Linked DNA regions of Daphnia pulex. The protein of the gene in region 1 binds, or shares a complex with, the protein of each later gene. Links are inferred from orthologs where the notes say so. Each region holds a gene or a part of one and is shown on either strand. Other genes may lie near its edges.

What was found.
Region 2: trithorax group protein osa-like (region 1) and ATP-dependent helicase brm-like share a complex: the UniProt entries of both Drosophila melanogaster proteins name them as parts of the brahma complex. The link is inferred for Daphnia pulex from reciprocal best matches to the Drosophila melanogaster genes osa and brm.

The regions. Positions count from the first base shown.
Region 1 is NC_060023.1:7,307,387-7,311,653, reverse strand, and holds the start of trithorax group protein osa-like, read left to right. Parts: upstream 1-1,467; 5' UTR 1,468-2,084; intron 2,085-2,194; 5' UTR 2,195-2,279; coding exon 2,280-2,996; intron 2,997-3,917; coding exon 3,918-4,025; intron 4,026-4,267. UniProt on the Drosophila melanogaster protein: Trithorax group (trxG) protein required for embryonic segmentation, development of the notum and wing margin, and photoreceptor differentiation. Required for the activation of genes such as Antp, Ubx and Eve.
Region 2 is NC_060018.1:7,737,307-7,741,475, reverse strand, and holds the start of ATP-dependent helicase brm-like, read left to right. Parts: upstream 1-1,369; 5' UTR 1,370-1,525; intron 1,526-1,848; 5' UTR 1,849-1,858; coding exon 1,859-2,526; intron 2,527-2,590; coding exon 2,591-3,131; intron 3,132-3,196; coding exon 3,197-3,457; intron 3,458-3,520; coding exon 3,521-3,898; intron 3,899-3,961; coding exon 3,962-4,169. Other genes in the region: uncharacterized protein LOC124205796, read right to left, coding at 1-266, 350-583, 651-823, 884-1,014. UniProt on the Drosophila melanogaster protein: Transcriptional regulator. Acts as a coactivator, assisting one or more dedicated transcriptional activators of ANTC and BXC homeotic gene clusters. Can counteract the repressive effect of Polycomb protein.

The DNA.
Region 1 (4,267 bases):
ATTTATGTAAAAATGCATAACGCAAGCGCCTGACGAATACACAAGTGACAATTGGCACATGTGCAATTGGCAAAAGTGGTTCATTGAATACGTTTTTTCTTTTTCCCGGTTTTTACTGGGGACACCTTTTGTTTTGCTTCATTCATTCATCACTTCCTACGTCTTTATTTGTTTTCTATCTTAAGCAAATCCTTTTTTGAATTTTTTTATTGGCTCTTTTCCCCTCCCTTAATGTCTATCTTTGTTTGAATGGTCTCTTTTTTTAGCTGTTTTCGTGTGTGGTGACCTTGACCCACATGATGGGACGCTGCGGATTGATTATTTTATTTGCCGTGTTGCTCACGCTTTTGAATGAGCAACCCTTTTTTTTATTTTTTCACGGAATTCCCCTCTCTTCCCTTTGTGTGTCGGCCTCATACTCACCGGTATACTTCCTCAGCGGTCAGAATTGCCGTGCTGTATCATATAAAGGTTGATTTACCAAAAAGAGTTTCTCAATAAATACAAATTTTTTTTTTCTTCTTTTCTAAGTGGTTTTGCCAACTGACGCATTGCTTCAGGTGCGTCGCAGTAAATAGGTAGGGGGGCTGCAGCTAGACAGCGAAATAATCACTTTGTTGTTGGGAGAACCTGTTTTTGTTTGTTACGTTTTTGTTGGGTTGAGATTGATGGCTTAACGAAGTTAGAATGCAAGTTTCATTTCGTTCGCCACGAGAGAGAGCTAGAAATTTGTTTAATGAGACTGGATGTTGTAAGTGATCGCTTATAGAAGTATAGTCCATCAAGAAGTCAATATAAGTAGAGAGAAGAAAATATTTTATTTTTTAGTCGGGAAAAGCGTAATCAAGACCAACAGGTAGAGCAGCAGCAGCAGCAGCGAGTGTAGTATAGAGACGACGAAATGAATTTGCAATGCCCGCCAGGTGTTGTTTGACAGGGGCTAGCCAGTTCCTGTTTTCGAAATTGTCTACGCCCGTCTTTTGGTTGGTTGGTACGTATACGTATGAAGCAACGGCGAAAATGCCAGATGGATTCAAAATTATGCATCTAATCGTTTGGAATCTCTTAACTTGGGAATATGTTAAAAACTAAATATGGATGTAGAAAAAAATTCATATTTCTTTGATGTTATTCACGTAATTGCGTGAGAGAGCCTCGAGTGGAAGTAGTTGAAATTTTCTTTGGCCCGTTAAGAAAAAGGGACCGAGAGTCCGCCCGTCGGCCAATAGCGCCATCATAATGGCGCGGGTCTTTTCTAAAAGAGAGAGAGAACGAAGCCCAGATGTATCCATCCGCCGTGCATACCTCGTCAAAATAGTTCCTCGGCTTTTTTTACATTTTCAGTCTTTACGCAGTTTTTAGTGGATTCAATCTTAATGTAAGAATTAATTGAAGAGAATACCAATAGAATGAAAGGCAAGTAGTTGGTTTTATGGTTTGAGGAGAGAATTTAAGAAGCGTTTTTTCGTTTTTTTGCTGGAACCAAAACTTGGTGGGAGAGAAGAGGCAATGGTGGCGCTGGCATCGCATTCAGACACCAAGAAGTACTGAAACTGAAACGACAATTTCTGCGGCAAGAGAAAAAGATGCATTGCCGTAGAGGCAAGTCACCAGCCCAAATTACGTCGATTGAGTGTGTTGTCTGTAAAGTTTGAATCGCGCCTCTTGCAATTTTGACACTCTGCTGGTCGGTGGGGCACACCACCTTGCGGGCTGACTCGCTTACGTCAGTTGTTGGAAAGAAAAAGCTTTTTCCCCAAGCGTCGTCGCGCGCGTTCCGGCTCTCTCTCTGTTCGTGAACTCTCCTCACCACCACCACCACACACACACACAAGACCCAAAAGGAGGAGAAGAAGAAGACGAACAAGAAGATTTCAAAAAGTAAAAAACCGTGTGTGCATATGTGAGCAAGTGCGTGTTGGTGTGTGTGTCTTGTGTTAAGTGTGAATGTGTATGTGTTCTACACAGTGTTATCCATTGTGAGTTTGTGCCCGACTTGGAGCGACGCGTTCAGCGTGGGAATAAGAGGCCAAGTGTGCTTTAGCTGAAACTCTTCTTGCTCGAAAAGTTCTCTCGACTCGAGCGTAAGTCTGAAAAATGGATGCCAATCCTAGATTGCTGAGCATCTCTGGATCTTTCTAGAATTTCTTGTACCGATCACAGGCTTACATCATTCCTTTTTTTACGCTTTCAGGTTCTATCGTGTTCCTCAACTGAAACTCACCTCTCTCAAGATGGAACTGAACCAGTTGTGAGTTGATCGTAACAAGCAGAAGACCATGGCCAGCACCCAAGCTGAAGTGGAAGCTCCCAGAAATGGGCCCGAGATGAAGGATCTGGATGGACCCAACACCAACGGGGTGGATGCTCAGAGGGAGATGGAGACAAACAGTTCCAACGGGCCAACTTCCACCCCTGTCAGCAACAATGGCTCTCATGACATGAACGAAAGTAGCAAATTGCAATCAGGCGGGGGTTACTACAAACCTCCTGTAGGATATCCTGTGGACTCCCCCGCTGCTGGCTATGAAAATGCCCAATCTGGATTTGGATATCCACCTCACAGCTACATTCATCAACAACAGCAGCAGGGTGATTTGCAGCAGCAGGGCAGCTACCCGTACCCTCAGTATCCAGGCAGCAACCTGGTTCGAAATGTGTCCAGTCCTGTGCTAGCCACAAAACCAGTGGCTTATATGAATTCCATGCCCAGGCCTGGTGTTGGTCCTGTGCCGAGTTATCCTCCAGTTCATCATGGTAGTGGTGCTGCTGGTGGACAGGGTTATCCACCCTCAAGATATTCAACACCAACATTAAACCAACTTCTTCAGCCTGGATCAGGAGGGCCAGTGCAACGATATTCTTATGGAGACTATCCTCAACAGCAGCCACCACCACCACCAAATTCGCATCCAGCTGCTGGCTGGCCTATGCAGCAGCAGCAGCCCAGGAATTTTGCTCCTGGATTCAAGCCTCCACCAAATTCGATGCAGCAGGTACAGGATGACAACGTGAAGGTCAAACCGAATTTCCTTAGAAAAAACTTTCTTTATTGGAAGAATGCTGTGCACGTTGCGTCATATAGCCCATCGATCCTTTAAGTATTCTTTTGATTGCACGGCTATTAAGAGACCAAAATAATGAATCATCTCGTTTATATAGAAAGTTGGCTAAGTCGGTAACGAACGGATCATTCCGTTAGTGGTCCGACGTCTACACCCACCTCTTGTTCTTGATCTAATTACGGAGCACATTAATGAATTGAATGATTTAAGTAGAGGCATTCATGAGAAGAGCTCCATCACCCCCAGCTTGAATCATTTACATAGATGGGTTGGAGGTCGGAACTAGATGTCTGAGTGAAAGATGGCCGAGTGAATGAGTGATTGAACATTTTGTTTCCAAAACTTGGTGGAATATGTGTATTTGAGTGTGGAGCAAAAGAGCCACGTGGCCGTGTTTACTGACCCGTTATTAGTGACGGATAGAGAAGGGGGGAGGGGTGACGTCATTGACAGGCATCTTTCTCTCGTGCTACCCCCTGTCTTTTCTTTTTTTCTTTCTCTCCTCTCATCTTTTTGAGCCCTTTTTTATTGGTGATGGAGGAGGAGAAGGAGGAAAGGAGCTATTTGTGACTCTGGGGGAATGGCTACTTCTTTTTCCTTGCTGTGTGAATATGAAATGTGATTAAGAAATAAAGTGATGATCGTCCTTTAAGAGCAAGGAAGCAGGAGGAATACCCTCTCTGTGTCCCGTTGAAACGCAACCCCCCACGGAGATAGTGACGTCACTATTAGCATAAACTATCCCTTTCGAATCTGGCCCTCACCCTGGGTGGCGGCACACTCACACACCGTTGGTTGATGGATTCATTTCGACTGATTACGTTTTTTCCTTTCCTTTTCTTGTGCGTTCAGGGTGGAGGCGGAGGATATCCCTCGTACGGACCTGGTGCTCCCATAGGACACGGAATCCAGCAGCAACGATACGCCGTGACGCCAAGTGGAGGAGGACCAGTCCAGCAGGTAAGAAGATGGGTACGGCCAACAAACACATAATACGAAAAAAAAAAAAAACGAGAGGAAACGCACAATGCTACCTTTATTTAGCCTTTCCCATTGATGTCTTGCCTACTTTTCTGTCCATTGGACGATCGCCAGCCCAGATTTTGTCAGAACTATTCTCATATGGTTCGATCACAAGTTTGTTTTTACTTGGCAAAAGAAAAGAAAGACGGTTCGCACAATAGGGTCTTCCCGTCCACTTG
Region 2 (4,169 bases), on another chromosome or scaffold:
TTATTTGAAAAAAGTTCTGTGGGGTTTCTTTTTCTGTTGACGTTCGATTTCCTCTTGCTGACCAAAATATTGGAATGAAGACTCGTCTGTCCCATCTGCAAGTGGTCGCTTTTTCTGCGACTGTTGTGCAGTTCCTGCTACCCACATTGCATTACGTCGCATCTTGTTACGATAATATTGTTTGAGTTTTTCTCGCTGCTCAAACCACTTATTTCGGTCACGGTACGCTTCTTCCTTTGCTGGCTGGTAGATAAAATCTGTAACCTCTATGAACAGACAAAATGTATGCACTATTATTGAGTTCACAATAGTTGTCAAATCTAACAATAAGTTTTAAATTTATAAAAACCTTTTAAACGGTTGTCTCCAGCGTGGAAAAAAAGTGGTTCCGTCCACATACCGGCATTTTTCCAATAGCCTTGATGCTCAACATTGCTCACTGTTTCTGGCTTAAACAAAAGTTTAGGGTCTTTCTGGGCAAATAGTTTTGGTGGCAAACTAATTGGTTCTTCTTCTGGTTCTACTGCAAGATTGCTCTCCTGAAAGAGGGTTCGTAGAGAGAACTCACTACCTTTGCCAATATCTAGATTACAATGAATTAGTGTAAACATATGCATTATACCAATAAATCATAAATACATTTCATATACCTAGAGCTTCTGTTGTCTGGTAATAACGTTCAGAAGATACTTCTGGTAGAGACTGTTGCTCAAAATCCATCTTGCCTTTTTTAAATGGCTTATCTGTGTTGCTCTTTGTTACTTTCTGAAACTTATTATCATGGCTCGAGAGATTTGAATCAAATTGGATGAATGCTTTGTTTCTAAAAAATATGAAAATTTTTAAAAACAATAATATGAATGGCAATGCTTATTTTTCATACCTGAGCAGGGGTTTTGCTGACTCTGACTGCTGTTCATTGCTAAGAGACAAATCAACCATGGTATCACTTTCTTCAACATGTTCGTCGAAGATAATTTTTTTATTCAATGGCTTTTCAGATATAAACGACATTGTCGATTGTATCACGCTACTAAGCTGCGGTTTTAAGTACTGTACTTCAGTTCGTTGTTAATTATAATATAACGTTTTATTATCATCAATCTTTCCGGAAAATTTGTTGAACTGAACGTCTTAACACGTGAGTCGTGAGAAATTGAAAATAATGATTTTCGTCTGCTAGAATGCAAACAAATGACACGAGTACACCAATGCCACTAACGTTTGGCTTGTCTGTAAATGAATTTTTTGGAATCTAATTTTAGGTAAATTTATTGAGAAGACGGATTTCACTAAAAATAAGAAATTATATTTAAATAAACGTTAAATTTATTGTGGCTTGTCATCCCATGTGGCAACTGTTTCCAGAAAAATCTTCAAGGTTCGTACTACATAGTTCACCACACCCCCACGGAGGGCGAACCAAGCAACGCCAAGCAACGCAACGCCATAATTTTCTATATTATTCGTTCTGAAAGGGAATTCCCAAACATAAACTAATAAAGGGCAAAGCAATTATTGAAACGTGAGTTAACAACCATAATGGTGTAATTGATTATACACTTTATATTTTTAAACTTTCATTATCTGAAGATATATTCGTAAAATTACTTGTCACGAACTTCACCGGCAATGAATCTAAAGAACAATTCCTTTCATCCCCTTGCAAACATTTTTTTCATTTTTATTTGATGCTTCAACATATTTTAAGTAAACTCTTGGAAGTAAATGAAAGTTTATAAATTCAGTAGATGTTTATCTCTTCTATATTATTAGTGCATGTGAAATCTTTTTTGTGTTGAATTTTGTGTTAGTAAAATTTTTTCCGTTGTTTACTTTGTGTCTTAGGCTGTGAAATATGTCATCTGGAGAACCACCTTCTTCGATGATGACTTCACCTGGGCCAGGGCCTGGAACACCTCAGCCATCACCTTTGTCTCATCCTGCTGCATCTCCAGCACCACATTCACATCCAAATTCAAATGCTGGAAATCAACAACAGCAAGTTGCTTCTCCTATGGCACCTCCGCAACCACCTTCTCCAATGAACCATCCTCAACCATCTCCATCACCCATGGGTCCACCAATGCAGCAACACCCTCCCCAGTTTCAACAACAACCTCAGCAGCAAACTTATCCACCACCCATGTCAGGAGCAGTTTCGATGGGGCCTCCTCATCAACCTATGCAGCAACCAATAAGGCAGCATCATGGTGGAGTTCCACAGCCTCATTATATGGGAGCAAGTGGTGGCTATCCTCCAGGTTCACACCACCAACCTCCACAGCAACCAAATTATCCATCACAGCCTGGTGGACCAATGCCTCAACAATCCCAACAGCAACCAGGAGCACCACCTTATCCACCTGACAGTATCAATGCTTTGCAAAGAGCTATATCTACAATGGAAGACCGCGGCTTGCAGAATGATCCTCGCTATGCTACTCTTCTTGCCATGAGAGGAAAACAAGAGGGAATGGCTCCTACTAGCCACAGTCCTGGTCCACCACTTATGGATCCTAACAGGTAACTTGAATTGCGATCAAAATATATCTGAACAATGTGTAACTGATCCATTACCAATATTTAGACAACCTGGTGTGCCATCGCAGTATGGGCCGCCCAATCCAGCGACCCTTAATGGCAATTCTTCTGGACCGGAAGGGGCCAATTCTATGAAATCGTCATTCCTATCACCTACACAAGTCCACCAGCTACGAGCGCAAATTATGGCTTACCGGTTGTTGGCTCGAAACCAACCTGTGCCAACAAATATTGGAATGGCTGCCCAAGGGAAACGGACGGACCTTCCGACACTTCAGTCGCAGCCTAATACTGTATCACAGCTGGATCAACAACAACAGCAAATATATGTTCCGTCTCCGTCTCAGCCTGGACAGTCTTTCCAGAGACCTACAGCTCCTTCGGCTCCTACTCCGATGCAACCTTCTAGCGTACGGCCTATTGGGCCTCCATACTCTTCTCAGCAACCTGTGGCACCATCACCGAGCGGACAGCAGTCTCAGCTACCTTCTATGGGGCCACCACCATCGGCAGGAACTCCAACTCCGGGAACTACTGCAAGTCCAGTTCCTGGTACCATACCGACTCCTCGTCCCCCTCAGCCACAGGTAGATTTTCTAAAATGTCATTTGTTTTAGAATGGTTATAAATGCTACTTGTACTTAAATTGTAGGTCCCTGTACATCCGATGCAACCATCCCAAGGGGCTACTGCCCCTACTGCAATTCAAATGGGTAATGCTGCATTGCAGCCCATCATAGCACCACCAGCTGTGCCCACTTCTAATGCCTCACTCATGCAACAACAACCCGTGATGCCACATTCACAGCAGATACAACCACAGCAACTGCAGCAACAAACACTTGTGTCTAAACAAAACAAAGTTACCCCAATTGCCAAACCAGCAGGATTAGATCCAGTTGTAATTTTGCAGGTATGTGTAATCTATTCGAAGTAATATAACCTTAACATTATATATATTTATTTATTTTAACAGGAAAGAGAAAATCGCATGGCTACGCGCGTTGCCTACCGTATTGAAGAACTTAGTAATCTACCTACTACAATGGGAGAGGATTTGCGAATTAAGGCGCAAATTGAATTACGTGCTCTGCGATTACTTAATTTCCAACGGCAGTTGCGTTCAGAAGTGTTAGCTTGTACGAGAAGAGACACCACGTTAGAAACAGCTGTCAACGTTAAAGCTTATAAGCGGACAAAGAAACAAGGACTACGAGAAGCTCGAGCAACTGAGAAGCTTGAGAAACAACAGAAAATGGAAGCTGAGCGCCGACGCCGTCAGAAGCACCAAGAATATCTTACTGCGGTCCTTCAACACGGCAAAGATCTTAAAGAGTTTCATCGTAACAACCTGGTAAATAATTATACCAGATACTTTGGTGATAAGAAAGCTTATTTTAAAATTTTAACTTTTTAGGCGAAAATTGTGCGCATCAACAAAGCTGTCCTACTACATCATGCTAATGCAGAACGTGAACAGAAGAAGGAACAGGAGCGTATTGAAAAAGAGCGTATGCGTCGCTTGATGGCGGAAGATGAAGAAGGTTACCGTAAGCTTATCGATCAGAAAAAAGACAAACGTCTTGCATTCCTTCTTCAACAAACGGACGAATACATTGCCAATT